Pelodiscus sinensis: one gene and its partners. The main gene of each other region encodes a partner of the protein of the gene in region 2 in a complex. Links are inferred from orthologs where the notes say so. Each region holds a gene or a part of one and is shown on either strand. Other genes may lie near its edges. The genes, in order: RICTOR, RPTOR, MAPKAP1 and ZFYVE28.

What was found.
Region 1: RPTOR (region 2) and RICTOR share a complex: the UniProt entries of both Homo sapiens proteins name them as parts of the mechanistic target of rapamycin complex. The link is inferred for Pelodiscus sinensis from reciprocal best matches to the Homo sapiens genes RPTOR and RICTOR.
Region 3: RPTOR (region 2) and MAPKAP1 share a complex: the UniProt entries of both Homo sapiens proteins name them as parts of the mechanistic target of rapamycin complex. The link is inferred for Pelodiscus sinensis from reciprocal best matches to the Homo sapiens genes RPTOR and MAPKAP1.
Region 4: the proteins of RPTOR (region 2) and ZFYVE28 are in contact, whole or in part, in a cryo-EM structure (PDB 9F43), measured with the Homo sapiens proteins. The link is inferred for Pelodiscus sinensis from reciprocal best matches to the Homo sapiens genes RPTOR and ZFYVE28. Residues at the interface, in NP_065812.1 of Homo sapiens: Arg54, Arg305, Arg306, Thr317, Asp321, Phe337, Arg338, Leu341, Ala344, Arg348, Leu437, Gln438, Leu440, Leu441, Ser442, Gln443, Arg446, Pro474, Tyr475, Lys478, Leu479, Gln481, Ser482, Ser483, Ala484; in NP_066023.2 of Homo sapiens: Arg399, Val400, Phe401, Phe402, Met403, Asp404, Asp405, Val406, Glu407.

Annotation. Positions count from the first base shown.
Region 1 is NC_134716.1:104,047,491-104,055,658, forward strand, and holds the start of RICTOR (rapamycin-insensitive companion of mTOR), read left to right. Parts: upstream 1-5,025; 5' UTR 5,026-5,587; coding exon 5,588-5,636; intron 5,637-5,743; coding exon 5,744-5,791; intron 5,792-8,168. UniProt on the Homo sapiens protein: Component of the mechanistic target of rapamycin complex 2 (mTORC2), which transduces signals from growth factors to pathways involved in proliferation, cytoskeletal organization, lipogenesis and anabolic output.
Region 2 is NC_134730.1:28,325,388-28,333,497, forward strand, and holds the start of RPTOR (regulatory-associated protein of mTOR), read right to left. Parts: upstream 3,107-8,110; 5' UTR 2,677-3,106; coding exon 2,512-2,676; intron 1-2,511. UniProt on the Homo sapiens protein: Component of the mechanistic target of rapamycin complex 1 (mTORC1), an evolutionarily conserved central nutrient sensor that stimulates anabolic reactions and macromolecule biosynthesis to promote cellular biomass generation and growth.
Region 3 is NC_134732.1:25,319,103-25,327,296, reverse strand, and holds the start of MAPKAP1 (target of rapamycin complex 2 subunit MAPKAP1), read left to right. Parts: upstream 1-5,075; 5' UTR 5,076-5,231; intron 5,232-5,510; exon of another isoform or gene 5,511-5,610; intron 5,611-5,805; exon of another isoform or gene 5,806-6,511; intron 6,512-8,194. UniProt on the Homo sapiens protein: Component of the mechanistic target of rapamycin complex 2 (mTORC2), which transduces signals from growth factors to pathways involved in proliferation, cytoskeletal organization, lipogenesis and anabolic output.
Region 4 is NC_134715.1:117,544,715-117,551,847, forward strand, and holds the start of ZFYVE28 (lateral signaling target protein 2 homolog), read left to right. Parts: upstream 1-3,996; 5' UTR 3,997-4,354; coding exon 4,355-4,393; intron 4,394-4,701; exon of another isoform or gene 4,702-4,830; intron 4,831-5,051; exon of another isoform or gene 5,052-5,685; intron 5,686-7,133. UniProt on the Homo sapiens protein: Negative regulator of epidermal growth factor receptor (EGFR) signaling. Acts by promoting EGFR degradation in endosomes when not monoubiquitinated.

The DNA of each region.
Region 1 (8,168 bases), on a different chromosome or scaffold from region 2:
GCAAGAGAGCCATAATCACGCATCTCACTGAGGCAAGCTGAAAAATGAAAAGTGTCAGGTGTGTTCTTTTGTATTCCATCACTTTTTTCTACCTCTTTCATTACTAGAGTGCATGGTGACAATAAAGCCATTTTGTACTATGACAGTAGCTGGTTCTTATGCTGTACATTAAGTCCAGTAAACAAACTCAAGGTGTTAATCTATTTCCAAGAAAGGTCAAGAAGAGAGATGTGAAATTCATAAAAGAGTCGCATATATACATAAACTTCAAAGTTCATCAGGTTTCTAGCTGTATTAGTGAGTTTGCTGGCTTGAACCTTCTGGAACACATCCATAGCTTGGATGGGTCATTTAGTTCAGAGCTTATTTGTAGAAAGGTTATGCCAGAGATCAGGGGTGGCCCATGAGCCTAAGCAAACTAGGCAGTTGCCTAGGGCGCCACTGGCCCGGGTGCCCGACGATGATGTGGCAGGCGGGGGCGCTGATCGCACTTTCTGCCTGGGGCACCAGCCACTCCTGCTAGAGGTAAGAAACACTAAAGACAAAATGGAGAAGATGAAGCTAACCTTTGCCATGCAACTTGTATTTCCTCTTTTCCAAATACAATCTGCCCAGCAGTGACCTGGAAGCCTTAGAGTTCTATCCATAAACATGTCCCTACATGCCCTGTTGAGTCAGAAGGTGTAGCCCTTGACCTTTTCAATTGATTCCCTTTACTGTTGCTGTTCCTTGATGAGTCATCAAATAAGGTAGGGAGCAGTGATGCCAAGCTATCATCCAGAAGCATAAACACCAGTCTGAAATACAGACATACATACATACCTATAAGAAACTCATAATACAAAGATAATACAAACACAAACAAGATTATCATACTTGGCAAATTATAACATTTTTGCACATACCTTACAGGGCATATCTGACACAATTTTTTTGTGATTTTACAATACTGGTGTTCAAAATATCCTGAATTGTCCCTCGATTCCATATAGCATCACAGTACATAAGGATTGAAATTGTGCTGTTCCCAGTCCTGCGAAGGCTGTTCTTTCCAGGGCATGAACTTTGAAAGTCACCAGATAGGGGAGCAGACTTCCTCTACAGCAGACTTCTATGAAGATCTGGCAAATATCCAAGTGGAAGTTACTTTCTCTGTAATAATTGGTGCTTGAAAATAAAACCTCAACTTTTTTTAATGTTGCAAAATTGATTTTCCTCTTGTCTTCATTGGAGTGGAAATAAATATGGCTCTCATTGGTATGACACTACTTTGTGGATCATCATCATAAGCAATTTTGGTTTTTATTAGCAGAGTTGTTAGACTGAGTTTATTAATTAAACTATTAATAGAGATATAGCCTAGTCTAGTCTAGCTGAAACAAAAAACAGGACTATGTAGCACTTTAAAGACTAACAAGATGGTTTATTAGGTGATGAGCTTTCGTGGGCCAGACCCACTTCCTCAGGCCCATGAAAGCTCATCACCTAATAAACCATCTTGTTAGTCTTTAAAATGCTACATAGTCCTATTTTTTGTTTCATTAATTAAACTGTGATCCCTCTGCTAGCTGACGTTGTTTCAGAGCAAAACAAAAGCAAAACATTATCCCACATTTAAAAAGTGACTCTTTTTTAACTACCCCTATTTTTGGAAGAATAGTGGTAGAGTTCTTTTTAACACGAGTGAGTGCCTGTATGGCACAGATAATGGGCTTAATAGTTTATAATTTTGTAGCTCACAGGATTCAAACAGAGTGCTGGGACAATTTTTATTGTGGGAGTGCTGAAAGCAGAAACCTTGTACATTTGAACCTACTTACTTTGGATGTCTCTAATATAAGAACATCTATGGTATGGAGGAGGAAGTGGCTATTCATGCTGCTGCTTTTCCTTCTGCCAAGCTGGGGGGAACGGAAGCATAGCGATGTGCTTCCCCTGCAGCTTTTCCTCGCTGTTCCCATAGCAGTGAGGGAACAGGCTCTGGGAGCAGCATGAGGCATAGAAATGCATGTACCCCTGGGAGTGGGGCATCAGGTAAGTGCCCCATTCCCATCCCCTTCATGCCCAGACCCCTCCCTGACCTGGCATATCTTTACTCATAAGAACTAAAACAATGTTTCCTTGAGGAAGCAAAGGAGAGGAGAAATAAGCAGGAATATCCTATTTGACTCCATCCAGGATAGATTATCCTTCCTCAGGCCGAAACTAGGACTAAAGACATAAGAAAGGACTCATGCATATAAGCCTTTTATTTGTTTTACTCTTTGCTCTGTGTGTTTTATACCTTGGAGGAATGAATAAATAATGCTTTATTTTGAATATGCTATTTCTGAGTATCTGCAAAGTTATACTGTCCCACACTTCTGTAGGAAAACAGGTGATAACATCAAGTTGGGACTATTGTAAATAGGATTGCAAAGCAGGGGGCTTCAGCTAAGCAAGCCAGTATAAGAGCTGTTGTATGGAATGGACCCTCATGCCCTCTCTCACATTGACTGGCTAAAGTGCAAGGTACATTGACAAAGCTGTATGAAGAAGTGAGAACTACATTGTCCCAGTTTTATAGCTTGATGAGACTGATATCCAGAGCTCTCAATCCCATGGCTTTCAAACACATTAAATTAATTTCTAAGAGTTAACAAAGAAAATGAAAGTCAATTTTAATGGTATAATCATATTTTTAAATCAAACATGCTTGTCATGATCTCAATATAGACAAGATGATTTTTATATCAGTGCTCGATTTTCTTGAAAAAGGATTTTTTACAAAAAATCTCTAGTCCAGCAAGCTCAGCCTGGATTATGGAATTATTCCAAGGCTCTTCCTATCCCATAACATTACCAATAATAAAGGAACTGAAAGTTAAATTAGGACTTCAACTACATCTGTGCAACTTGTTTCTTCCAATTGATTTTCAGAGGCATGTAACCAATGGAAATTCAAGTAAATAATTCTGTTGATGATGTTGTGTAAAATACAATCTGTAGCTCATTCCCTTTTAGCTGTGTTGGCTCTGCAAACAGCAGTCAAAGCTTATTTTAGTCACTAACATTAGCAAGAGGAGATGTCAGCACTAGATGATTTGATGGAAAAATACAAAGAGTACTGTTGAGTAAGACAATGACATTTTTGTATAAAAACTTTTAAGAGTAAAATTGCACTTTGAAAAGCGCAGAGCTCACTTGAGAAGATTAATGCCATTTTATTTTAATTTTGTGTGTTCATAGTTTAATGTCATGGCTTGTGTGCTAAGTTCTTTAAACTCTTCTTCTGCATAATAAACAGCTATTTTTCACAAATAGACTTAAAAATCAAATGTTTAAAATATAAAGGATAATTTCTATCAGTTTATAATATTAAATCGTATCTTTGGTATGGACAAGGCTCAGTTGAATCAATAGCACATGTTGCCTGGGGTAGATGAGATTGCCTGAGTAATTTCATTCTTCTCTGTGATTTCTAAAACAGATATTGGAGCATTGTCTTTTGACCCAAGTGATCTCTCTTTTAGAGGTCTCCAAAGTTGCACTCCTTCTTTTCAATATGTATGTTTATTCATAGGGTAAATTATGAATAGTTTTGTGTGGCAATGCTGTTCACATACACCTTATCTATTTTTTTCAGTGGGATGATTGCCTCTTTTGGGGTCTATGTGTCCAATAGGGAAAAAGTGCTAGGATAAGAGACAGCACAGTGAGATGGTGGATAAGATAATGTAATAGTTCAGAATACATGATATCAGGTGGACTTCAGAGAGAAGAGAATGGTTGGCAACCTGCTTAGTATCAGCTGCAGGACACAAAGCTGTTATTCTAACTTGAGCTTGTAAATGCAATTCAAGGTGTTCACGTTGATCTATACAGCTCCATGGCTACGTCTACACTGGCCCCTTTTTCGAAAGGGGCATGCTAATTTTAAACTTCGGAATAGGGAAATCTGCGGGGGATTTAAATATCCCCCGCGGGATTTAAATAAAGATGTCCACCGCTTTTTTCGGCTTGGGGAAAAGCTGGAAAAAAGCGTCTAGACTGGCCCGATCCTCCGGAATAAAGCCCTATTCCGGAGGATCTCTTATTCCTACTTCCTACTTATTCCATCTGTGGTCCTTCAGAAGCAGAGTTTCCTGACCTTCAAGGCATGTTTTAAAGCACTTCTGCTTACTTGGTCTTTCGCCATGCATGAGGGTATAAAAGATGTGGCGTTTCTGTGTTGGGAGACCATATAGTTAATGAATTGACTTAAATCTTTGAGCATGTGCTTAATTTGTTAAATATTAGAATTTTATAAAATATTAAATGAGAGAAATACATCAGTATATAATATTAGATAAATACTCCCATTATTTTATTTAGACCCATAAAAGCAATGTGGAATTTTAATTTTGTTCTTGTTCTTTTTAATTAGTCTACATCTGAAAATAAAAATTCCCTGACAAATATATTTGACATGGAACATGTCCAGTGGTTCTACTTATTTGAATTATGACCTTGTCATTGAGCAAGTGCAGTTTGTTTATTTTTTGTACCTGACTTAACGGTTCAGCCACGACATCTTAAGATGCTGGTTGAGTCTGTCATGTAGGAAGGCAGTTTCCAGTACTGTAAGCTCTTCTGGGAGGGAGACGGGGAAGCATTTTGCCATATTTTCCTCAAAGGTGTAGAAATAGATTGAAAGCAGCACAACAGGGTAAGTGACAGAAGATAAGGGCAGGCTGAAGTTTTCTAAAATGTTTGTTTTACATCTACCATTTTTGGGCCTTTTCATGAACAACAGTTTCATTTGCACTGCTTACCGGGTCAGAGGTAAAAGCTGCTGGAGAAGTCTGCTAAAGTTACAAGGCTAGAAAAGTAACATCTGATCTAGTGCCTTGTTGGCAACACTTCTTATCAATAGTTGTGATTGTCTGGCGGGAGGTAATCAAATGTTTTTGTTTACCCTGAAAGCCCTAGCTCCTGCTGGAATTCAGTGAGAAGTCCAGCTCCCACTTAAGAAACAGATAAAGAAAAAACCCTCCAGTCCTCCTGGTCGCAGAGGCGCAGCCACGTGCTCCAAGTCCCACCAGACGCAGACAACCTCCCCACCATTGATACACAGAAACCACCTCGCGCTGTTAAGTCCAAGCTCAGGCTCTCTGGATTCTGGGGCTTTCCAAGACTGTGAAAGACTCAAGGGGCTGGAATGGGAGCAGGGCGGGGGAGAAGCGGCAGGCGCGAGCCAAGCGGCGGGGACCCGGGTCGGTGAAGGCGGCTGCCCCAGCGCTGTAATTTAGCCCGTGAGGCTCCCCCTGCCTTGGGAATGGGAGCAGCGAATGGAGGGAAACGCCCCTCGGGGTGCTGAGGGAAAGCGCTCTGGCCGGAGGGACGGGCGATGTGTATGTGGCGGAGGCCGACAACTCCCCCAGTCACACCAGGCTCATTCGCCGGCGTTTCAACTGCCAAGCCGGGGCCCCGCTCCTCGTGCCCGCCGCCGGCCGCTCCGCGCCCCCTCGCGACAGGCCGGTAGGGGCCGCGGGAGTCGGCGGCGGCGGCTCTGTCTCCTCGCGAGAGCGGGCGAGGTTTCCGGTGTTGTGACTGCGGGGCTGTAAACATGGCGGTGAGCCTCCGCGCCCGCTCGCTGAGGCACCTCCGCATCCGAGGTAAGGAGCCCGGCTAGGCCCGGCGGGAGGCGCCGCGGCTCCTCCACCGCATCGTCCCTTCCCCGCCCTGGCTAACAGGCTCTCCGCTTTCCCTCCCCCTTCCGCAGGTCGGAACGACAGCGGCGAGGAGAACGTCCCGCTCGATCTCAGCCGAGGTAAGCGGGGCCGGGGGCGCCCCGTGCGGGGGGGGGGGGGCTGGCCTTGGGGAGGCCAGGCTGGGGTGTCACTAGGTGCCCTAGGAGTCCAGCTCCGCCCCTACCCTACGTGAGGTGGGTAAAACACGGACCCTAAGGCGCGGCCGGGGCGGGGGGGCCTGGCCGAGGGAGGCACGTCCCGTCCCATCCCATCCCTGCCCTGGGCGAGGGGCTTGTGTGCGTCACGGGGGGCTGCTTAAGCCACATGAGAGGTGGCTGCTTTGGGGCGGAGAGCCCTGGATTGCTGTCCCAGGTGAGAGCGGATTTCCGGCCCGTCTGCAGTCCTGACACTGGCCGGTACCCATGGGGAGTAGGCTTCTAGTGTGTAACCAGATTGCAGAAGCACTGAGAGGCAGGAGGCTATTTTCAGTATTACAGTCTGGATGGCTGTAGTGAAGAGGTGAGGTTGTTGCTAGGGGTATATGGGTCACCTCCCCCATCTCTGTGGGTGAGCGTGGGATCTGGTACATATACATTTCTCTCCTTCCTCTGTACTTGTTGGTAGAAGCCTCCTTTCTTCAGGGTAATTATTTACTGGCTGCAGGTGGTGGTGTTTTTTTTTTCTTATGGGGTTTGGACAGCTCTCCAGCCCAAATCTCACCCAAGTCAACCTACAGACCCACCTCATTTTGTCACTGTGTATCAGATGGTGCTTCAACAATTTGTAATAAATGATTTTGGGGCTATGATAAGTCTTGTAGCCGTCACTTCAAACCTGTTCCATATTTGTTCTAGTGGGATCAGATGCAATATTTAAGATTAGGATTAAAAGTCCCTGGGGGTAACCTGTTAGTTTGTAACTTTAAAAACAACCAACAGTCCTGTGACACCTTAGAGACTAATACATTATTATCATGAGCTTTCGTGGGTAAAATCTATACTCATCTGATAAAGTGAGTTTTATCCATGAAAGCTCATGATACAATATATTTGTTAGTCTGTAAAGTGCCACGGGACTGCTGGTTGTTTTAAAGATTCGAGTTGTCAGTACTAGTTAACACAAGTGATTAATTTAACACAAATTAACTTGATGGAAATTTAAATCATTATTAGTTTTAATTGCATTGTTAATAATAGAATGCCAATTTGAGTTTATTTATATTTTTGGATTTTTACATTTTCAATAATGTTGATTTCAATTACAGCACAATATACAAAGTGTATAGAACTTGCTTTGTATTTTTAATACAAATATTTGCACCATAGAAAAGAGTATTTTTCAGTTCACCTCATACAAGTAACCCAGTTCAATCTCTTTATCATGAAAGGGAAACTTACACATTATTTTGTTTTTGAGTATAGCTATGTAATAAAAAAAAAAAGTAAGAGTCTGAAACCTACAAGTCCACTCAGTCCTACTACATGTTCAGCCAATCACTAAGATAAGTTCGTTTACATTTATGGGAGATAATGCTGCCAGCTTTTTATTTACAATATCACCTGAAAGTAAGAACATGCAATTTTGTGGCTTGATTGTGTTGCAATGTAATTGCAAAGAGATTGCATGCCAAATATGTTAAACATGTTTATGCCTTTTTATGCATCGGCTTGTTGTGTACATATTTGTAATAAAAAAGTAGTAATTAGGTCTGTCAATCATAAACATGTAATCACCTCAAAACATACAAACATTTTTTTAACTAGCATTAATTGCACACAAGGATGCTGCTGCATGCCTCTGCACAGGTAGTTCTTTTCCCCCTGCCCTGCTCCGCTGCTGCTCCTGATTTCTCTCCTCCTGCATACCATGGAACCATTATTGGCCAAGCTGCAGTGGACTAAGATCATGTTTTCTGTCTGCTGTGCCCAGTGGGGGTGGGGAGGAGCTGATTTTGGGGTCTTCACTCCCCCTGCCTATGATCCCAGTTGCTGCTGAGCGAGGGTCATGGTATGGTGGAACCTGTCTGCTGTTGGCTCAGAAGTGAGTGCTGATGATAGCTGCTGCTGCTGCTGGCTGAAAAAGTGTTCAGGGTCCTGAAAGCTCTGCTTAAAGAGTCAGTGCTCTCAAGCGTGTGCGCGCGCGCGCGCACACACACACACACACACACACACACACACACACACACCATGCCACTATCAGTAACATTGAAATGTGTTTTTATTATTAAACAATGCAATTAAAACTGTGATTAATCATGAGATATAAAAAAGTCACAATTAATCACACTTAATTTTCTAATTGTGTGACAGCCCTATTTAAAACATATTTTCTAGACTTCCTGTCACCATATTACAGCTTAAACACTTTATTTTGTAATTACCATAAGTGTTTATTTGTTTCGAAGTCCACTGACTTGGTCTTGATAAACATACATTCTCTTCTGTGGCAAAACATTAC
Region 2 (8,110 bases):
GCACCAGAGATCCAGGAAATAAAATGGGGCTACAGTCCTACACACACAATGCCCCTGGACCCAGAACTATGTAGGGACAATGGAACCCAGAGAGCGCCTCCTCTCCCACCATCCGCCCTTCGGGTAAAAAAACTATAGGGAGGAGCCAGTCAGAAATGAAATCAGGCAAAGCATACACAGAAGCTGTTTAAGCAGGATCAGAGGATATTTTCTACAGCTCTGATTGGACTTGTTCTCATCTGTGCTGGTTGAATGTTTGCTCCAAGCTTCTACCCAGTTTCTTTACCTCAGCTTCACTCCATGCTTACCCCTTCCTCTCCTCCTTATCCCATGCACCCTCCCCATGTACCCAGTACTCTAAAACCCTTCCCCTCCAAAAATACTGTGGAACTAGTACGACTGCTGTCATCATTTTGTCCATTCTATTTGTACATTAGATCCTTTTCCACTACCCTTTGTCTATCTTGCCTATTTAGACTATAAATTCTTCAGAGCAGACACTGTACTACACTGTACAGATGGGGGCCTAATGTTGGTGTTCCTAAAACCCTACTGTAATTAACATTGTCAATAATAAGTCATCTCAACATTCCCAGAGATTTGAAGTGTCTGTGGAAATTTGGGGAAGATGTGCGGAGGAGGTGGTTATTAAATAAGAATTCTATCACAATTATGGAACATTCTAACATCATAATTATTTGTGGTAACAACAAGAAAACCAAAAATAAAAGCAGCAGCGCAGAAGTAAGGGTGTTTTGTGCTGCTGCCTTCAGAGCTGGGCCGCTAGAAAGTGGCAGCTGCTGACTGTAGACAGCAGCTCAGAAATAAGGGTGGCAATACCACAGCAAACCATCCCTATTTCTGCAGTACTGCTGGTAGCAGCTCTGCCTTCAGAACTGGATTCCAGTCAAGCAGCTGCCACTCTTCAGCTTCACAGCTCTGAAGGCAGCACTGCGACCAGCAATCATGCAGAAGTAAGGGTAGTAGTACTGTAACCTCCCCCTTTACAATAATCCCGTGACACCCAGACCCACAATTTCTTTTTGGCTCTGTAATTGTAATGGTGTACAATTACACCACCATGAAATTTCAGATTTAATTAGCTGAAATCATGAAATTTACTATTTTCAAAATCCTAGGATGGTGAAATTGGCAAAAATGGACCATAAATCTGGTAGGACACTACCTATTGCGTGCCATCTAGTCCACCACTAGAGGCCCAATATAGAATTGCTTCTTAAAACACCTTTTTCGAGATTACAGTAATAATGAATTGAGAAAGTTAGTTGTTTATCAGGTAACTGTGGTTTGGAAACATACTAGGTGTCCATACACAGACACACAAAGGCAGTATATACCCAAGAGCTAAGAAAATCTTTAAGTTATAGCCAGTTCTGAGAGAAGATCAAGTGCACACTCTTTTCCATTCCACTTTTATATCTAACCAGAAAAGTTTAACTGTAGAAATCAAGCCACAGAGGACTACATGGGCCTGAGAGAAAAGTTTGCTTTTTAGTAGCAAAGCTTAGGACTAGGAATGTGAAGGTTTAACCAGTCTCATCCTTAACAGGTGTGGCTTACAGGTTAAAGTTAACCAGTGGGGGAGTGGAGCAGCTCCCCACCTGCTATGGGCTGCCCCAGCCCCACAGGGGGCCTGCTATGCATGGGAGGGTGGTGCTCCAGCCAGGCTCCTGCCTTTGCTCAGCTCCCCTTTAATTAGTTAATATGCTTAACCAGTTAGCCAATTAAATAGGATTTTACATCCCTACATAATACAGCATCCATTTAATGTTCTGTAGATATTCGGTCAAGAAACAATATCCTGCCTTGTAGGTTAACATGTTTAAGGATCAAATAGGCATCTTCCATCTCAAAAACATCATGAGCCTGACATTGCTCTGGTAAGCATGCATCACTCATATACTCCATGCAACATGCCAATGGAGGACTAAAAAAACCTCAAAGGAGAACTTCACAGAATATAATACTTGCATTCATTGCACCCACTGCCCATGCCACTAACATGAACCAGTGAGGTCTGTTTTAAGACACCACTAATGCCACTACTTTCTCAGAAGAGCACCAATTTCGCAGAAACTCAGTGTAGCTATTTAAAATGCATATAATTAGGAACTCGAACAGTCTTCCTTTTAAGTTGTGTGTTTGTGCCGCCACTCAAGAGAGGCTCAACTGCCACCCGGCTGATCAGCAGAGCACCCACAACTAGGTTTTGGGTTTCTACTAGTGGTGCACATTCACACCTGCCTCTGTGTGCACCCCAATGTATTCCGCACATGGATGGAAAAGATGAGAGGGAACATTGGTAACCGTCACTATTAACTTCTTCGTGTGTTCACTTCCACGGTAGCGATGCAACAAGTGCCTGGGCCCCAGGCAAACCTGACTACTAGAAACAAACTCTAGCGGTGCCTCCGACCACATGGGGCAGATCAAAACCAGAGCCGCCACCTACCCCTCCCCCCGCAGAAGTCCCCCGCCCCGGGGCATTACCCGGTCCTTCATCCTCCAGCTCTGGGCCAGAGACTTGGAGCCCTCGATCTTCTCGCAGTGCCGCTTCTTCATGAAGGCCAGAGGCAAGTTCCAGTCCGTCAGGTCCGACTCCTCCTCCTCCCCTCCGACCCCCAGGAGAGGCGACTGCAGCATCTCAGCCTCCATCGGGAGAGGGGGGGAGGGGTCCGGCCGCAAGGGCTCCGCGCTCTCCACCCCCGCACAGGCCGGGGCGGGCGGGTCCCTCTGCCGGGCGGGGCTCAGGGGCAGGAGGGGGAGGGGTCCCAGGCGCGGGGGGGCCCGACCCGGCTCCGTGCAGGGGGCGCCCGCAGGCAAGCGGCGTCTCCTCGGCCCGGGCAGCGCGGAGGGGTCGCTGAGCACTCGGGGCGCCCGGGCCTCTAGCCCCGCGGGCAGGGCTCGCTCCCCGGCTGCTGCGGCGGGAGCCGGGCTCGGCCCATCGCGCCCTCCCCCGGCTCCTCCCCCACGCGCGCTGGCTCCGGCCCCCGGCGGAGGGGCCCCGTCCCGCAGCGCCGGCGAATGAAACTCCCCTCAGGCGCACACCAAGGAGGCGGCCATATTGCCGCGGCCCACAATGCACCGCGGGGACGGGCCGCCGCGGGAGACAAGCCGCGCCGGCCGCGTTCGGAACCGCGCTTCGGCTGGGGGAGCGGAGCCTCCTCCTCGCAGCCTGCTGGCCCAGTGCCTGGGGGTGGGCGTGTCGTGGGTGACCCCCTCCAAAGGGTGCCCCAGACTATCCCCTCAGAACCCCCAAACACCTCCCCTCCAGAACACCCCAAACCCTGCAAACGCCCCACAGCACCCCGCAAAACACCCCAGACCCCCCACATTCCGCACAGCACCCCTCAATAACCCAACCTTCCGCAAAACACCCCAGACCCCCACATTCCGCACAGCACCCCTCAATAACCCAACCTTCCGCAAAACACCCCAGACCCCCACATTCCGCACAGCACCCCCTCAATAACCCAACCTCCCGCAAAACACCCCAGGCCCCCACATTCCGCACAGCACCCCTCAATAACCCAACCTTCCGCAAAACACCCCAGAACCCCACATTCCGCACAGCACCCCTCAATAACCCAACCTTCCGCAAAACACCCCAGAACCCCACATTCCTCACAGCACCCCTCAATAACCCAACCTTCCGCAAAACACCCCAGAACCCCCACATTCCGCACAGCACCCCTCAATAACCCAACCTTCCGCAAAACACCCCAGAACCCCACATTCCGCACGGCACCCCTCAATAACCCAACCTCCCGCAAAACACCCCAGAACCCCCACATTCCGCACGGCACCCCTCAATAACCCAACCTTCCGCAAAACACCCCAGAACCCCACATTCCGCACAGCACCCCTCAATAACCCAACCTTCCGCAAAACACCCCAGAACCCCACATTCCGCACAGCACCCCTCAATAACCCAACCTCCCGCAAAACACCCCAGAACCCCACATTCCGCACAGCACCCCTCAATAACCCAACCTTCCGCAAAACACCCCAGAACCCCACATTCCGCACAGCACCCCTCAATAACCCAACCTTCCGCAAAACACCCCAGAACCCCACATTCCGCACAGCACCCCCTCAATAACCCAACCTCCCGCAAAACACCCCAGACCCCCCACATTCCGCACAGCACCCCTCAATAACCCAACCTTCCGCAAAACACCCCAGAACCCCACATTCCGCACGGCACCCCTCAATAACCCAACCTTCCGCAAAACACCCCAGACCCCACATTCCGCACAGCACCCCCTCAATAACCCAACCTTCCGCAAAACACCCCAGACCCCCCACATTCCGCACAGCACCCCTCAATAACCCAACCTTCCGAAAAACACCACAGACCCCCCACATTCCGCACAGCACCCCCTCAATAACCCAACCTTCCGCAAAACACCCCAGACCCCCCACATTCCGCACAGCACCCCTCAATAACCCAACCTTCCGCAAAACACCCCAAAACCCCCACATTCCGCACAGCACCCCCTCAATAACCCAACCTTCCGCAAAACACCCCAGAACCCCACATTCCGCACAGCACCCCTCAATAACCCAACCTTCCGCAAAACACCCCAGACCCCCACATTCCGCACAGCACCCCTCAATAACCCAACCTTCCGCAAAACACCCCAGACCCCCCACATTCCGCACAGCACCCCTCAATAACCCAACCTTCCGAAAAACACCACAGACCCCCCACATTCCGCACAGCACCCCCTCAATAACCCAACCTTCCGCAAAACACCCCAGACCCCCCACATTCCGCACAGCACCCCTCAATAACCCAACCTTCCGCAAAACACCCCAGACCCCCCACATTCCGCACAGCACCCCCTCAATAACCCAACCTTCCGCAAAACACCCCAGACCCCCCACATTCCGCACAGCACCCCCTCAATAACCCAACCTTCTGCAAAACACCCCAGACCCCCCACATTCCGCACAGCACCCCTCAATAACCCAACCTTCCGCAAAACACCCCAGAACCCCACATTCTGCACAGCACCCCTCAATAACCCAACCTTCCGCAAAACACCCCAGAACCCCCACTTTCTGCACAGCACTCCCACAAACACCCTACAGTTTATAGGGTATTACTCCCTCCTTTTCCTTCAGTCTTAAGCAACACATAGGCCATGTTTTGGATATATAAGTGTGACATAGGGCTAAGGGCCTTAGGCTAGTACAGTACTTAATAAAGGTGTAATTTCTGCAAGCTTTAAATACAACCTAAATATACATTACTTTATTTAATAAGTTAAGGAAACGGCTCTGTCATAGGAAGACTCCTTTGCCAGGCACATGAGGATAACCTCAAAATACTTACTACTGATTTTGTATTTGTTTAGCAGTAGCTCCCAGAGGGCCCTAATACAAGCAGGCGCCTGATTGTGCTAGGCACTGTACAGATACAGAACATATAGGTGATCCCTGTTCCAACAGATTCACAGCATGTAAAGCAGGCATGACCAGTACAGTCGGAAAAGGTGAACAAGGCTCAATGAAGCAAACACAGATAATTATTTTTCAAATACTTTTGTAACTGGCTTCACTCTGTTGGGCTTCTAATTCTTTTTTTAACATTATACCCATCTTTCTTACCAATGCTGACTCTTTTTGTTCACAAGCATTGTTTTCCTTCTTTCTTCTGGCTGGAACTCAACCTCACATAGCAGCTGCTTTGCTGATTTTTAATTGTTTACTTAGACCACAAAATCTTTGTGCAACCAAATCAACTTTGAGGACCATGGTCTTGGACTTAGTCCAGCACAATTCTGAGAAGACCATCAGCGTGACTAGCAATGTCTGGATGAAGAGCATAACCCTTTCGTGTTTGGAGAACAGAAGTTAGTTTCAGGGATCTGTTTCCTATGGCTGTGTCTAGACTGGCCAGTTTTTCCGGAAAATCAGCTGCTTTTCCAGAAAAACTTGCCAGCTGTCTACACTGGCCGCTTGAATTTCCACAAAAGCACTGACTTCCTACTGTAAGAAATCAGTGCTTCTTGCGGAAATACTATTTTGCACAATAAGCTTTTGCGCAAAAGGGCCAGTGTAGACAGGTGAGATTTGTTTTGCGCAAAAAAGCCCCGATCGAGAAAATGGCGATCAGGGCTTTTTTTGCGGAAAAGCGCGTCTAGATTGGCACGGACGCTTTTCTGCAAAAAGTGCTTTTGTGGAAAAGCGTCCTGCCAATCTAGACACTCTGTTCTGAAAATGCTTTTAACAGAAAACTTTTCTGTTAAAAGCATATCCGGAAAATCATGCCAATCTAGACGCAGCCGATGTGTAAGGGCCACATGAATGGGTGTTGTAGCTCCATTAACTTCACTGAGGTTATTCTGATTTACAGCAGTTGGCACAAAGTACCTGAAAGATAATAAATAATACATAATAAACAGGATTGGATCCTATTTTTATCCTATTGTATCAGGACAATATATGGAGAGTCCTGATTTTTTTTTAAAAAAAAACTTCATGGTATCCATACATTTATAGTTGGACTTTTTCACAATAAAACAAACAGCATTTAGTATTGACGAGAACATAAGAACGGCCAGACTGGCTCAGACCGAAGGCCCATCTAGCCCAGTGTCCTGTCTACCGTCAGTGGCCAATGCCAGGTGCCCCAGAGGGAGTGAACAGAACAGGGAATCATCAAGCGATCCTGCCCCTGTTGCCCATCCCAGCCTCTGACAAACAGAGTTAAGGTGAAGGAGGGTGCTCCAGGGCTACTGTGAAGATGGAGAAGACTCCCCCCAGCTCTCACTCCTCGCAGCAGCACCTGCACTAGAAGGGAAAGGCACTTCTCCCCATAGGTTCCAGTTCAGGGATGTGTTTGAGCTGGGGAAGGGCTGCCCTGGTCACAGCAGATCCTGGTGCCGCAGATAGGGCTGGGCCGAGCTACTATGGCACGGTTCAGGGCTGGGCTGCCTAAGCCATGGCAGCCTGGAAACCAGATTAGGTTGGGGCCAAAGAAGAGGCCATCCTCCCCAGGCTACGGCAGGTCCCATGGGGGGTCCTTAAGTACTTGAACAATGTTAAATAGGCAGCTGCACAGGTGAATAGGACTGGTCCCAGTACAGGTCCCAGGGGGACACCACCTATTATATCTGTAAAACCAACAGCTGTCGGTGGGTGGGATTGAACCTGCATCCTTAGAGGCTAAAGCCATGAGCCTCTTCTACCACATGAGCTAAAAAACTAAGTTGCGCTTATCTCAGGCCATAGAGCAGCCTTCACTCAGCCTTCTCGGGGCCTCTGGTTTACATATCAACACCATCATTCCATACCAGGCACTCTAGTTCACCCATCTTATTATTTAGATTTCTAGCCTTTGTCTATAAGCACATTAAAAACGTGTCACTTTTTAGCTGTCTGCTGGTGTAATTGAATGTGACTCTTCTTCATGTCACTGTTTCTGATCAGATCCTGCCTGCATTTTGTCCTTTTCCATCCTCTCCGCCTTACTAGGACAGAGAGAATCTCCATGAATAGATCCACCCCTAAGGGATGTGTCTGATCCAGAATCCACTTTACATAAGTTAAAGGGGAAAATGATTGATTTCTCTGACACAAATGGTACCGTGAAAGTGTATAAATAAGTTTGGTCATGGGGATTCCTGTTTACATTATGCACAGCAGCAGAGTGTTCCCCAAATCTGGGGGCTGAAGGGAATTCTCCCCTCCCCCCCGTACCCACCACATGTCTAGGTTTTCATGCTGAAACTCCCTGACGTTTTAGAAAAGAGGAAATGTATGTATAATTATTTTGGAATAAACGATTCACAAAGGGGAGAAGAGGGGGTGCTATTTTATGCAGACTGGGACATTGGGCAGGAGTTGAATGGGTTTTATGTTCGCAGCACTTTTTTGTTAAAATCCTGCCAGGCATTGGTTTTCTGCCTGAAGTTGTTGAATGGGCTGGGATTTGTTTGTGTATGTCAAGCTTTTGTGATAAATTGAGCAGAAAATGATGTAACTGAACAAAAAGCAACCTCAAAAGAAAGCAAATTTATGATGGTGTCTTGTGCTCCAGGAGAATCAAGTAAAACTTTATGGTCCCCCTTTGTTCTCA
Region 3 (8,194 bases), on a different chromosome or scaffold from region 2:
CAAGACATCCAAGACAGCAGGGGCACATGGAGCCCAGGTCAGCTGGGACTTCCTAGCTGATCCCAGGCTCCATGTGGCATTTCCAGTTTGAAATGCACAAGAGCCCCTGCTGGGGACTCTTGTACATTTAGGCTCCATGCAGGTGCTTCCCCTTTGAAATGTACAAGAGTTCCACCTTTGTCCATCCACTAGTAAATGAATCAATATTTAACATCCTTAGCTTGGTCCATGGGGTGCCCAATTCCCCCATATCCTCTACCCTTCAGGTATGAAGCCATGGGGTGCCCAGCTTCTTCTGATCCCCTACTCTTGGGCCTCGGAGCTATGAGGTGCCCAGCTCCCCCTACCTTCCGTCCTTGGGACTGAGGTGATGGTGTGCCAACTTGAGGCTTCGCTGCACCACTGATATTTGGGGCTTATGACCCATGGGGTGGCTGGGTCCACTTTTCCTTCAGCCAGTAGTGAATCAGGGTTGGATGCAGACCTGGTCAGTGTCCCAGGTTCCGTTGGCCCTCCCATCCCTCCTTTTCTGGCTCCTCAGTCTCAATCCCTGGTTGGCCCAACCCTGAGCCATATCAAGAGATGTGGCCAGTTTTTAAAAGTGACCCCATTAACTTGAAAATTGGCTTTGTGCTATAGGCTTTGACCTCACAGGTGCTCATATGCTTACTAGGGCCATGTGGCATTGATGGGGGATTCTGCCAGAAGATTACTCTTGGCAAATAGAAATATGCACTGCTCATATCCATTCAAAATGCAGCTGCAGGAATATTTTTTCCTAGATTGTCAATGAGATCATGTCATCCCTTTGAATCCCTCCATTGGTACCGTCTCTATCAAATCAAACATAAGCAACTTGTTTTCATTTTCAAGGTCCTTCATAGATTATCCCCATCATTTCTCATTCATTGTCAAAATGCCAACTCCCACCTTGCCCACTGACACCAGCCTCCATTGTCCACTTGTTACATTTTCAAACAAGCACCTTTGTGCCTTTGACAGTGCTGCCCCTCACACTTACAAGAATCTCCCTGCAAACATCCACAAAGCTACCGCATTGATCTCCAGAAACTCACCTTCACCATGACGCCTGCAAAAATGGACAGCAGTTACACCATCGGCAGTCTGAAACCAGTCGGTCATAATTAATAATATGCTTTTATTCCCCATATGTTTTTATCCCTCTGTTGTCTCGTTTTCTGTTTTGATTGTAAGCTCTTGGGGGCTAGGATTGCCTTTTATTGTGTTTGTTCAGCACCAATCATAACAAGGTTGTGATCAATGACTAGTGAACATGGCTGCTATGGTAGTACAAATAAACAATATGTGCCAACTATTCGTGTACAAACTATAGTAATTACAATTAGTGTTTTTCAGTTACAGTTACATAGGTAGAAAGTTTGAAGGAACAATAGCTCATTATATTTGAGGTGACCTATAACTCAAACTGTTGGGCTAGATAAACTGGCTTTTGGCCTGCAAATTGCTGGTTGTATTGTGAAAATTTAGATGAAAATTAGTCAAAGTTAGAAGAGGAATAAAAGTGGATTCATAATGTAATCTGCTTGCCCCGTAAACTATAGAGAAACTGTATGTATGGCAGGGTTATTAAAAATCAACAGGTATTTACATCAGGCCACACAGGTTAGTAAAGATGGGAATAGAACCCAAGTCTCTTTTCAGAAACCTACAAATTAATCTGAAAGAAGATCTATCAGATGAATAGCCTTTATTATTTGTATTATATTTTTCCTGTGTTTGAAACTATTAGATACCGTTTGTGATATTTTTCAACTTGGTTTTCCTATTTAAATAATTTTATTTGAATTTTGCAGCAGTTAGTGTAGCATAATTAATTCTAATATTTATTAAAATAATTTTAGATGCCATAACATTTTACTATTATTTATTGTCACTTTTAAAATATTACACAAAATATATTCCAGTGCACATTAGTAAATAAATTATCCTTGTAATAGCTAGTGCATTTTTAATTATAAATTTATCCATGTCTCCCTTTATTTATGATAGTGATTCTCTGTACTGCAGTACAGTATACCTTTGAGACACTGTAAATTACACATTCATGGACATTGCATTTCACAAAATATACCAGGAATCTGATTTTTGAACATGCTTAATATTATTATTATTAGCAGCTAATAATGATAATAGCAACTAATGTGAGCATTGGCACTCAGTGCAAACTGACCCATAAACTGCAGTGCCAATGTCCACCTTTTGGAGGAGATTGCATTCTGTACATAGAATCAATGAGACACAATAGGCTGTATTGTATGGCTTGTGTGCACTTAGGTCTGTCAAAATGGATCGCACCGAAAAGCAAATTATTCCCAGCAATGTCCATTTCTTCCAGTTAAAGGCTGGCAGGCACGACTTAAGTAGTTATCACTTGTGGAATAGTTTCTCAAAGAAAGTGATGAAAGCTGCCACTCGGGACATTTAAAACTCGTCTGCACCAAGTCATGGAGAAAAGGCTGTAATTCACTGTACAATTATGTGCATTGAAGATGTACAGAGGTTCTAACTCATATAGCACATAAAAATCCAGCACCTCTTTGGGGTGGGTCTCCTTGAACTCATTGTGTCCTGTGCATTGATCCCCATACTAACTCCTTGTACAGTTTTATTGCCAATTGAAGATAATTGTCCTAATAAAGCTATCAAATATTCAGGACCAGCTTGATCATCAAATATATCATTCATTCATTATACCATCATGCCTGGGCTACACTTAAAAATGTTGTAGGTAGAACTATATTGATTAGGAGTGTGAAACCACCCAAAGGTGCTGACATCCCTTCTAGCCAGGCGGTGCTAGATCTCCCCTGTGCTTCAGGCCCTGCTCCCAGTCCCACTCCTTTGCCCATATCCCTGCCCCACCTCTTCCGGGCTCCACTCCACCTTCCCCCCTGAGTGCACCTGGTTTCTTGCTCCTCCCTTGCCCTCCCAGCTCATCTTAAACTGCAAATCAGCTGTTCACAGGAAAGTGAAGGGAGGAATTGGTCAGCGGGCCACTGCATAGTAAAAAATAAAAGCTGTAATAAGTCAATTTCAATTGTAAAACTTTGAAAGAACCATAAATGTTTTTTTCAGAGTTAGGAATAACTTCCATTCCCAAGGTGTTCAAGAACTCAAGTTCTATAGTAATCTGTTTGCTGGTACAGCTTATTTCAGTTGATGAACCAATACCAGCCCCCCCAAAAATATTGTCTGTGCAAGTTGTGTTTTCACTTGTTCTGCCCTTTTTAGGCTATACAAGGGGTAGCTGTCTGCACTTCTCTGAAACAACAGATCCCACAAAGCACAAAATGAAGCACATGAAAGCCAGAGACTAAAGGGTATAAAATGAGTTCAGATTGGCCTGCTCTCCTTTAGAGAGTCTGACCATGTTTGGGACACATTGCAAAACCATCCTCTTTTATAAGTTTTGCTACAATGACCAAGATTAATGTGTGGCAGAAAGGAACAACCAAAGTGTATCAACAGAAAGTTAACTAAGTGCATGCATAATTTACATGGGAAATAGTGACCAATTACAGTGACGAGCACTATAGAAAACCCCAGCATGAATTCTACATTGGCCTGCTAAACCCAGGGTTGTGAGTTCAATCCTTGTAGAGGCCATTTAGGGATTTGGGCAAAAATTTGTCAGGGGTGGTACTTGGTCCTGCTGTGAAGGCAGGGGACTGGACTCAATGACCTTTCAAGGTCCCTTCCAGTTCTAGGAGATAGGCAATCTCCATTATTAAGAATACCTTTCCCCTTGAAACATCTGATCCTGGTCATTGTTTGGAGGCAAAGTACTGAACCAAGTAAATCCCTGGTCTACTGTAGGTTAGCAACTTGTGTCCCCGAGAAACAGGTAGGCTATGTCTATACTGTGCCTGTTTTGTGCAAGAAATATGCAAATGAGGCTGTATAAAATATTGCTGAGCCTCATTTGCATAATTAACAAGGCTCCATTTTTGCACAAGGGGCTTTTGCAGAAGAGCCGTTCTTCCTGAAAAAATGAGGAAGAATGGCTCTTGCGCAAAAACCTCTTGTGCAAAAATGGAGCCTTGTAAATTATGCAAATGAGGCTCAGCAATATTCTAGACAGCCTCATTTGCATATTTCTTGCACAAAACAGGCGCAGTATAGACATAGCCATATTGAAATAACCCAGTATGAGAAATCTGGGATGCAAATTTATCTTAATTACACTATTTTCTTGGCTGCATTTGTTGGGTCTTTCTTATGTCATACCTCTTATATTGGCCAAACTGGTCAGTCTCTATGACAAAGGATAAATGGACACAAATCATACCTCAGAAATGGCAACACACTTAACCTGTAGGGGAACATTTTAACTTGCCAGGTCACTCATTCATCGATTTAAAAAGTAGCCATTGTTCTACAACGGAATTTCACTAAGCAATTACAGAGAAACCAGTAGTCCTGCGCAGGGATGTAAGTGACAAGGGGTGAGGCTAGATGGCCCTGTGGTCTGACCCAGTACGGCCGCTCTTGTGCACCCTGGCTAGTAGCCAACTCCCCGGTGAGCCTGGCTTACTGGACAGCTGGGTCACTATTCGACTGCTCGCTTCCCACCTTGCTGCCTCCGCAACAGAGGCAGCAAAGGGGGCGGGGCAGCAGGGGCTGGGGCAGCTTAAAAGCCAGTCCCCCCCCCCGCCCCGTCTCCTCAGAGGGGGGGGCGTGAGCCGGGGCTGCTCAGTGCGGGCTGGGCCCTGGCCCCCACCAGTCCGGAGCGCCGGGCCGGCGGGGGGGGCGGGGCCCTGTGCTCGCGCGGGACCTGACGCCGCAGCCGTTGGCCTCGAGAGCCGCAGGCCGCCCCGCTGTTTTCCGTTACGCGCGGAGGGGGCGGGGCCTGCGCGGCGGCTAGTTACTCGTTGGCCGAGTGGCCCCCGCGCATCGCTCCGCGGTCTGAGGCACCCGAACGAGGCGCCTTGGCCAGGGCGGGGGCGCGGCGCGGCCACGTTCCGCGCGCATGCGCAGAGTGCAACGTCTACCCCCCCCCCCCGAGGCCAACGGCGTTTGGCCCCGGCTTTGCTGTCTCCGTCACTTCCGCTCGGAGGTTGTGTTTCCGGGTTAGCGGGGGCCATACCGCTAGCTGGCGTCGGCAGAGCCTTCTGCGGCCCCGGAAGCGGCCCCGCCGGTGGGGCAGGAAACGGCCCCGGCCCCGCAGGAGGGCAGCGCCCGCCAGGCCTGTAAGTGGGGACGGGCCCCGCCGCGCCGCGCGCCCGGCCCCTCACGCTGGGCAGAGCGGGGTCGCCCCTGGCCGGACCAGGAGCCCGCCCCCCCGCCAGGCCGAGGCGCGGAGGGAAGCCCCGGGGGCCTGTTCCCGGCGAGCAGCGCTGAGCCCCCCCCCCCCCCCCCCCCCCCCGCCCGCCCGCCCACAGGGAGTTGGCACCAACCGCCGCTTCCGCCTCCTCGCGCCGGCGGCCCGTGAGCGGGGATGGCACGTGGCCGCCCGGCCCGGGCGTGAGGCTGAGACCGAGCCACAAACAGCCGCTCGCTGCCGACCGACAGAGCTGCGAGACGTAGCGCAGCGAGCCTCGTGCCGAATAGCGATCGAGATGCAGCCGGGTTAGTCTGGTGCAGCTGAGACACAAGGCAGGACTGGGCAGCACTTCAAAGACTCACAAGATGGTTTATTAGGTGAGGAGCTTTCGTGGGCCAGACCCACTTCCTCAGAGCAAATAGTGGGTCTGGCCCACGAAAGCTCATCACCTAATAAACCATCTTGTTAGTCTTTAAAGTGCTGCATAGTCCTGTCTTTTGTTCGAACCACGTGTTGTTGCCGAAAGGCGGTAACTACTAGAACCCTTAGCATGCCTGTTAGGGCACAGTTCTGTTGCTAACTCATAACATTGTGTGGGTGACAATGGGGCGTCAGCTCCTGTGACTTAGAGATTCTTCTGTAGAATCGTACATGTGCTCTGCCTAAAAGTCTTACTAAATGCAAGAAACCGTTATTCTGCCTTTAGGGTTTTTGAGAGACTTATGTCCACATATCAGAATCCTGTACATATGCAATTAGTGTGGTCTATTTAGAGAGCTTTATGGATGTGTCGCGTTATAGTTTATAAAGCCTACTTAATGCTCGCCAATCCTTTTGCAAGATTTCATGGTAATGGCACAAATAAGTAGAGTAAATGGACAGTAAGCTATAGTTGGGATAAACAGTGTAGATCCAGTGGGCTTCTAAGAAGTGATTTGAAAGGGGAAAATTTGTGAAGATTTGGTGGGACATGATTGAAAAAAAGGACTCGGGTGCATTATAGAACTTGAGAAACTGTTGGCAGGCTTTGGTTTAGATCAGGTGTGGACAATAAAATAGCAGCATTTCCGCAGCATTAGCCCCCTTTGAGCCGCTGACACTGTATTTACCTCACTTTCACAGGTATGGGGGGGGGGTCATGATTCCCATTAGTTGGGAACGGTGATCGGCGGCCAACAGATGCGGTGCTCCTCCATATCTGTGCAGGTAAATATGGCGGTTACAGCGGTGTGGGAGCCCGCCAGGTGCTGACTCTGACAGACTGGATCCAGCCGGTGGGCTGGTATTTGCCCATCCCTGGTTTAGATACTGAGTTTCTGATTCCCATAAGGAAGTACAATGGACCTGATATCCTGGGATAATACTGTAATGTATTCCATTGGGTTCTGCTATTGCACTCTCGTATTAACATATCCTGTTGTGTGAGCTACTTTGATTTGGATCACCCAACCCCCTCTAAGATGTTACCCTGGCAGTTCAGGGTGCTTGCAGTGTAACCATTAAAAGTGATGATACTCTGTGTATTTGCTGGTCCCTTGCCTTGTTTTCTGACACCCATGAGAAGGGGTTGCCAGAAAACTGCAGTGCTCACGTACTGTGGGAATTTCAGTATGGGAGAGGGTGTGGTATATTTTCTATTAAGACGAAGATAAGGTTTGAAATTAATCTTATTAAAATAAGCACTAATTGGTTGTCATCTTGGCCAGGAATATTATAGGCCTGGATGCCCCAAATGGTTCATCATGTGGTTTAGTTTACAGACAGTTGTCAAGTAGACTATTTTCAGTTTAGCTCACCTTTTATTTAGGTCCTGTCAATACTAAGGATGTTAGTGTGTACTCGTTTACATGATTAACCAATAAGGCTGGGCTCATTGGTTAATCCTAACAGTTACCTGCAGTCCCCCAGTGGTGCCTCTGTATCAGAGACAGTGGGGGCAGGGTGGAGGGCGAGAGCCACTTCCCGTAAGGAGCTGGCTCCTGCAGAACCGCCTCCCCCCGCTGCCCAGAGAGGCAGCAGCGCAGAGAGGAAGGTGGGAGGCAGTGCTTCGTGGGACCTGGCTTAAAAGCTGGCTCCGCATAAGCACCAGCTCCCTCAGACCTGCCTGCCTCTCATAGAATCATAGAGCTGGAAGAGATCTCAGGAGGTCATCAAGTCCAACTCCCTGCCCAAGGCAGGACCAATCCCAACTAAATCAACCCTGCCAGGGTTTTGTCAAGCCGAGACTTAAAAACCTCTAGGGATGGAGATTCCACCACCTCCCTAGGTAACCCATCCCAGTACTTCACTGCCCTCCTAGTGAAATAATTTCTTCCTAATATCCAACCTAGACCTCCCCCACTGTAACTTGAGACTATTGCTCCGTCCCTACTGTGAAACAGCCTTTCTCCATCCTCTTGGGAACGATGATAGAGAGGCAGCAGTGCTGGGAGTGGGAGGTGGCACATGGGAACTGGTATATGCGGGAAGCCTTCTTTCAAGTCAGCTGCCTGTGTGTACTGTCTCCCAGGGAGCCACCGGTCACCCATGCTGCTGCCCCTCTAACAGAGGCAGTGGGGGTGGGGTGAGGAGCAAGGGGGAGCATGTGGGAGCCGGTTTAAAAAGCGACGCCTGCCTGCCCCCACATGTATACTAGTAACAGCTAAAAAATTCAGCAATTACACATTTATTTTTATAAACCTGTAATCGATGAATGTTTAACATCTCTAGTCAATACACAGGCTGGAACTAAAATAACTACATTGGTTGTAATTAAAACTGTCCCCATTATTTTAGTGCAAATCTCACTTCTTTGGGATTGCTAGTGTCCTGTTTAGGGATGTTAAATTGAGGTTATTTTAGTAGTTGAGTAGTGGATAAAATTTGTATCGATTACTCAATATGGGAAGG
Region 4 (7,133 bases), on a different chromosome or scaffold from region 2:
TTTTTGTCATTTAAAAAAAACCTGTTTAAAGTTAATCAAATTGTTTATTTTGGATGCTGTCTTCAGTAAAATAAAAAGGGAACCAAATTCACAATAAGGTGGAAGGCCATTAAAAATCAGTGAAATCCACAAACTGGCATCCCTCTGTTTGCAAAGTATAATAGGATATTTTCTAATTCTGAGCTATTAAAAAGTTTTCAGTATCAACAGACATTTACCCTTTACTACCATACCCAGAATTTCAATTAATAGCCTTAAAAGGTTGCAATCCTATTTACTTGAGGGGAATTACATCTGCTTAAATCAGGACTGAATACGGTTCTTGTGAAATTCAGTAAGATTGAGTAGATCCTGCTCAAAATGACCCAGATGCTTTTCTCATTTCTGTGGCACAGAAGGAAATAAAACCATGAAAACTGCAAAGAATGTGGGGTAAAAAAACTTAATGGAAGGGAAACATGGCTACACCAAACCACCTCCACTTACCATATAACTTTCTGCACCCTTAATATTTAATCACACCATTTCATGGTTATAATCAACTGGAGTGGGGGAATAGCTTCTCTTTGTGGCATGTTTTTGTCTTACACCAGCATAACTTTAGATGGAAATGGGGTTTTTAAACACAAGTAGTATGTGCAATAGCAGTTATTCTAATGGGACACATCCGAACAAATGCACAAGACAAAATTCACTCTGCTCATGGGAGGAAAATCTTAGAGAGAACGCTTCCTCCACTCTCTCCCTCAGTTAATGCAAAGCAAATTGGGTTAATGCAATTTCAGGATAGTAGCATGGGCCAAATCCATGAGGGCAAAATCCATCTCTATTGGTAGAAGGATGGTGGGAGGAGTTTTTAGAGGGGTCACACGACACCCTTTACTTCTGGTCATGTGTCCATCTTGACCCTGGGAGCACTATCTCCAGGGTTGGGGCTTCTTTTGGCAGGGGCATAGCTAACATGTCCCTAATTTAATGCAGAAAATATAGTCACCATATTCAGAAAGCATCATCAGAAGAGGCATTCATCAAATGATCCATCCCCCTTTGCCTGTTCCTAGCATTTCTCAACACTGAATTCCATCTGCCATTGTGTTGTCCAGTCACCCAGTTTTTTGAGGTCCCTTTGTAAGTCTTTGCAGTCAGCTTTGGACTTAACTATGTTGAGTAATTTTGTAGTACCTGCAAATTTTGCCATCACAGAATTTGCCCATTTTTCAAGAACATTCAAAAATTTAACAGTACTGGTCCAAATGCAAATCCCAGCAGCACAACACTCATGGCTACTCCTTTCCCTTCCTCCCTAGCTTTTAAGTACCTGGTAATGTTTTCATGATGGTCTAATGATCCCTTAATTACTTAAATGATCAGTCTTGTTATTCTTAATCATCCTGCCTCCCTCTTTTTCTAACAAACTCCCTGCCCCAAAGGCAAAGCTGCAAGCAGCTCAAACTCTACTGCAGTTAAGAGCTGCCTTTGGACCAGGGCATGCAGGTTTAAGCAGACCTCAAGTATGAAATCCAGGGGTTCAAACTTGGTAGTAGGGGATACTGCCCCCCTCCTGAATGGCACCCATGGGTGCAGAGCTGTCTGGAAGGCACTGCAGGCTGTCTGTATCAACCCCACCTCTTCTTCCTGAGGCCCCCTCCCCTTTGAGGAGCATGGAGGGGTCCTCTCCTCCCCCCCAACTGCCCATTGCCCAGGGGCCCAGAAATCCTGTCAGGTCCCCTGGCCATTAGAATTCTGGTTAACCTCTACACAATGAACTCAATTATTTTCCCTTCACTTATGCACATGAATACACATCCGAATCCTTTTTGTCTTCTCTCCTGTGTCTATCAAAAGTGTATTTATGGTTATGTATGTAACAGATGATGTTTATCTGTGTAAGGTATGTCTACTCTGTGGTAGGTCAACTAGAATGATGAACCTGCTACACCTCTGGCTAAGAGAGTTGAATTTTTTAGCTCAGGTGGTAGAGATTCAAGTACTAAGATCCAGAGGTCTTAGCTTTGACCCTACTGTCATTGACCCATCCAGGCACTGGCATTACTACTGGTGGCTCTAGTGAACTGAACTGGGAAACCTCTGAGCTGTGTGCAGGGACTCAGAAGGCAGGGAGTCTGCCTGAGGAGCCTGCTGGACTTCTGGAAGAGAACTGTCTAGGTAAGCACCTCCTGGCCAGAGCCTGCTTTTGGATTTCCAGTGCCTCTCTTCCCCAATTCTCCTACCCCCCTTCTGCACACTACCCCACGTAATTGAAACCCCCTGCACTTCCACTCCCTCTCGCAAACCCTGCATCCCAATCCCCTGCCCCAAGTCACAACAGAAAAACCTGCACCCCCTCCTACACGGCTCCTACAGGTCAGAATCCTCTCTAGCACTCATACCCCCTCCAGGACCCTGCACCACAATCTCCTGTCCTATTACTATAGAATAGTGGCTTTCCTCCTTCATCCAAACTCCCTCCCAGAACCTACACTCCCTACTGCAACCTAGTCTCCTACTCCAAGCTCCTTTCTGAATCCAACCTCCATCCCACACCACCTACATTAAGATAATGGAAGAATGCAGCCTTTGCCCACTTACCAAATTCTTGGTGTGACCCCCCAATCAAAAATTACTGCCCACCTCTGGTGTAGGTCAAAAGTTTCTATCTCACATCAAGGGAAGTACATCCAATAAAAGATACTTGCTTACCTACTTTGTCTCTCATGTGTTTTTAGTACTTATCATCATAAAGGACCCCAAAGTGCTTCAGAAACATGCCTTGGGATATGTCAACGTTATGCTTGTGGAGTAATTAGCTACAATTTACCTGTCCTATTTTAGCAATTTTACATTGACATATTAGCTGGAGTACTTGCATGTATGTAATGCTCCTTCTCTACCTGCTGTCTCTCTTTACTCTTACAACAGGGATCTTGTCTGGAAAGTGCCCAGGACGTGGGGAATATCACCAGACAGAAATAAGGATGAAAAACAGCCACCTCCTAAGAGGAAGGGGAGGCCACCAGCAAGTCTAATAAGCTCCACCGCAGTGTGGGAGAGGGAAAACTTTACCAAAGGATACTCTGTTCTAAACAAACAAACTGCAGTAAAGCAGCCTTTAAAATCTGTGCAGGATGGACACAATGTGGCTTTTAAGGTTTCCTTTTCCAGTGCTTAATTTGCAGTGAAGCAGCATTGGGTTTCATCCTGAAGACTCGCACCGAGAACTAAATATCTGCCAGCCTCAAACAGGGAAAGGGCTGGGGCGAGCTCTGGAGTGGAGTTTTCCTTCTCCCACCCGCCTCCCCGAGCGGGCTGTGATGAGACCTTTGTATTTGAAGTTGGAGGCTCCGCATCCCTGAGCAAGGGTCACAGCAAGGGTCACCCTCCCCCTCACACCCAGCCACCCACTCACCGCTGGAGCCACAGCAGAACCAGCACAGTTCACCCGGAGACTGCTCGGTTCTCTCCAGACATCTAGCAGCGTGGGGGCGCGAAGGCTTCTGGGGTTTGTAGTCCACTTAGCCGTCCGCCTCCATCTCTCCGAATGGTCCAGGGAGCGGTAAAAAACTACCAGACTAAAAGAGCGATGGCGGCGAATGTTTACCTATTGTCGCCTAGCAACTGAGCACTGGGACTGCAGCTGGTGGATTATTTTAACCCCAGAAACTGCCGGAATCCAAGGAATTGGGTGGGCTATAATCATGATGTGCTTAAGTAACGCTTGAGTAACAATAATAGAATTGCCCTATGACAAGACTACAAGTACCAGCGCACAACGCGCCGCCCTTATGTCAGTGGCCCCTTGGGCTGGGGAGGGGAGACGAAGGGGAAAGACGCGTGGCATGCTGGGACTGGTAGTCCCTCCGCCCCTTGCACTGAACTCGCTAAGGGTGAGGGATCCATGTTACGCAAATGAGCAGCCGCGTGGGAGGAGTAAACGCGGAGGGGGCCCCCGCGGCCTCCTTCCAATTGGTCCGAGAGCAGAGAGCGCTGGCCAGAGCTTGAGCGGGCCTGGCCGGGCGCATGCGCCGGCTGAGCGCTGCTGCTGGCGGCACTGGAATGTTTGGGGGGCTGTCAATGAAGAGAGGCGCCGCTGTCGCTGCCGGCCGGTGCCTGGGCAGGTCAGCCTGAGGGGGCCTGCGGGATCCTCGCTCCACCGCAGGGCAGAGCCTCCGTCCCGGCGCCTCGCCAGCCTAGGGGTGGCGTGGGCGGGTTGCCCATCCCCGCAGAGCAGCCCGAGGAGGGGACGGAGTTTCGGCGGGTCCCCCTGAGGTGCCGGGGGGGAGCAAGGCTCCGCATAAGCCCCCCCCCCCCATAGCAGCCGGGGCGGGAAGCGGCCGTGGAGGCAGCAAGCGGGGGGATGATGAACAGGTTCCGAAAGTGGCTCTACAAGCCCAAGGTAAGTTGGGAAGCAGGTGGCCTCTCCGGGCGCGGCGGCTCTGTTTTGGGGGTGCCCCTGAGGTCAGCCCGCTGGAGGGGGAGGGAGCGCCCGGTGCTTGTGAGCGCCGCTCGGGTCCCGGGAAGAGCCGGCCGAGGCGCTTTGTAGGATCCCTGGTGTGAGTGGAGCCCTTGTCGGGAGCCCCTTGCACGGCCTGGCTGTGCCGGGGGTACCTGTCCGCGGTGCCCGTCCCCGTGCATTAATCTAGGAGCTGCTGTGGGTAGAGGAGGGAGCAGGAGGTGAAGGGTGGGTTATTGTCTAGGTCTTACCGGGCAGCTCGCTGAGGTGTTGCAGCGCTAGGGAAGAGGTCCGAGGAAGGGTCTGGTAGTGCCTGCCTTTGTGGGGGGTGCTTCCACAGGCTCCCCTGCTCAGTGTATGGCGCTGACTCGGGATTTCGGGAACCCGCCGCACTCGCAGCCTTCCTCATCTTTCACGGGCATCCCGTGATTTGCTGTGTCTTCAATTTACCACAAATTACGTCCTTGGCAGTGGAAGAGTATGCGGGTTTTGCTTTTAATTACAAAGTAGACGCGGTTTTAAAAAGGAGGCAGCCGCGATCTGTAGAGATACGGGATCTTGTTGTATTTGTACTGCTGATAATAATCCACTGTGGCTTCAGAGGCAGCTAATCGGAGACAGCGAAGGAGGAGCTCGGATTTGCAAGGCACCTGCATTCGAGTGAGCGTTTTCTCAGCGCGTCAGGAGAGCCCTTCAGGCAGCTTATTTGCTCAAGGAGGCGAGATGACAAAGCAGAGCATGTGCTTTATTGTTGTTTGGACCTGGCAACAAAAGAGGATGAGGGGGAGGCTTTCTGATACTGTTCTTGGGGATAGTTGTCTGACTGGAGGATTCCTTACTGTGTCTTTCTATGATGATGATGTAAAGATGCTGGATTAGTGGGTGAGACTTACTGTTCCAGAGTAGTCTTCAGTTACTAGGCAGTTCTTTATTCCCTTTGGACTTCTAGTTTCTATTAAACTCCTATAACAGTTGTTTACTATGTTGTTACATATAATGTGCTTGCCATTTGGAAAGAGATTAGAATGTTCACATTGTCAAATGCAGCTAATACTATATTTTAGTGGAATACTACTATATAACGTGAGACCTTCTAAGTGAAGATTTTGTTACATTGCAGTTTGTGGATGGATGTCTTCTGGTGGTGTTTTGCCTCAAATTAATTAATTTAAAACAGCATAAGGCAAGATTTGTAAGACAGTTTACGTGAGAATTATCAGACGCTTCTGAAACAGGTAAAGTAATGCCAGGAGTCTGGCGAGCAGTAGTTTTTTCTGTATGACATTCTGGTTGTACATTAAGGTGGTTAATATTTTTGGATAGCTGTTGTATCTTGCTGATGTCTAGGCAATGAATGGAACTACCTGATAATGCAGTGTTTTATGATATGAAGTAACTAATCTATTTTAATATGGTGTGAAGTCTCATATTAAATATTTCAAAAAATGGTTGCTATTTTCATCCAAATAATTAGTCCTTTAGTTGTATATTTGTTTGATGCTCTAAATAATAGTTTAGGCAATGCTGGTTTTGTAGAATTTCATATATAATCATAATCCTGATTAAATATCCCTTTTTGAAATGTTAACAAGTGTTAACTTAGAGAAATTGGAGGCAGGTGGAATTTTTCTTTGAGTTGTTTATAAACTTGATATAGCGCTTTGTATTTAGTCACCTTCATGGTTTCCCATCCATAGACAGCTTGTTCTTTGTGCACATCTTTTACCCAGCAGGGGAGAGAGAAACCATTAAAAAAAATCCAGGAAAACATTTTGGCAAAGACACAGATTTGTAGAACTCACTGGTAAATGCATTAACTGATGCTGCTCTTTTGAAATGATTCAGATTTTAAAGTGAACTGATGTTGGTTTAAGAGACATCTAGTTTTGGTTAAATGGATTTACTGTAATTAATAGCATGTTCTTTGAATAGTATTATTTCACTTAATTTTTTAGCAAAGGAAATTCTCAAACCTGTGGTGAAGTATTCATCATCAAAGTCATTAACATTTTAAATAGCTCATTTTTAATGGTGTAATTGCTCTTAAAAAATAAAAAAACAAAGTTGCCTCCCTCCCCAAAGCATCACTTTTGTTCATATATGGTTTGCTTATAAGGATAAAAGTAAGTTATTCTTGTGTGCATTATATTCACAATCTGTTTTGTTGATTGTAATTGGTAATTGTGTATTCCTCCAGAAACAGCTACCTGTGAAATAAGTATCTGTTAAAACTTTTGTTACTGTAACATATTTCTTAAAGTAACACAACAGGGAGAAATACAGACTTAAAAAACAAGTTAATTAGAAATTAAGATGGGAATTTAGGATTAGTGATGCTACTCGTCCATATATTACCTGATTATGCCAGCTATTTTCCCCTTCTATTATCTGGCCTGAAATGTCTCAAGGATCCCTGTAGTAGTTGGTTTGTCCCACGGAGCATTCCTATATAATTTAGCATGGACACCCAGGAGGTGTGGGTGCAGGGTGGGAGGGAGCTAGACAATGCTGGATTTGGCTGCAGTGAGAGATACTCTGTACATTTCCTTGTATGTGCCAGAGATTATGAGGTATTCTTACACTTCTCCATAGTGCATAGGTGACACATTGGGTCACCTTCTTTCCCTTTATTTTAATTGCTGAAGCCAGGTGTCCTCACTCTGCTCCTCCTCACCAGGCATGG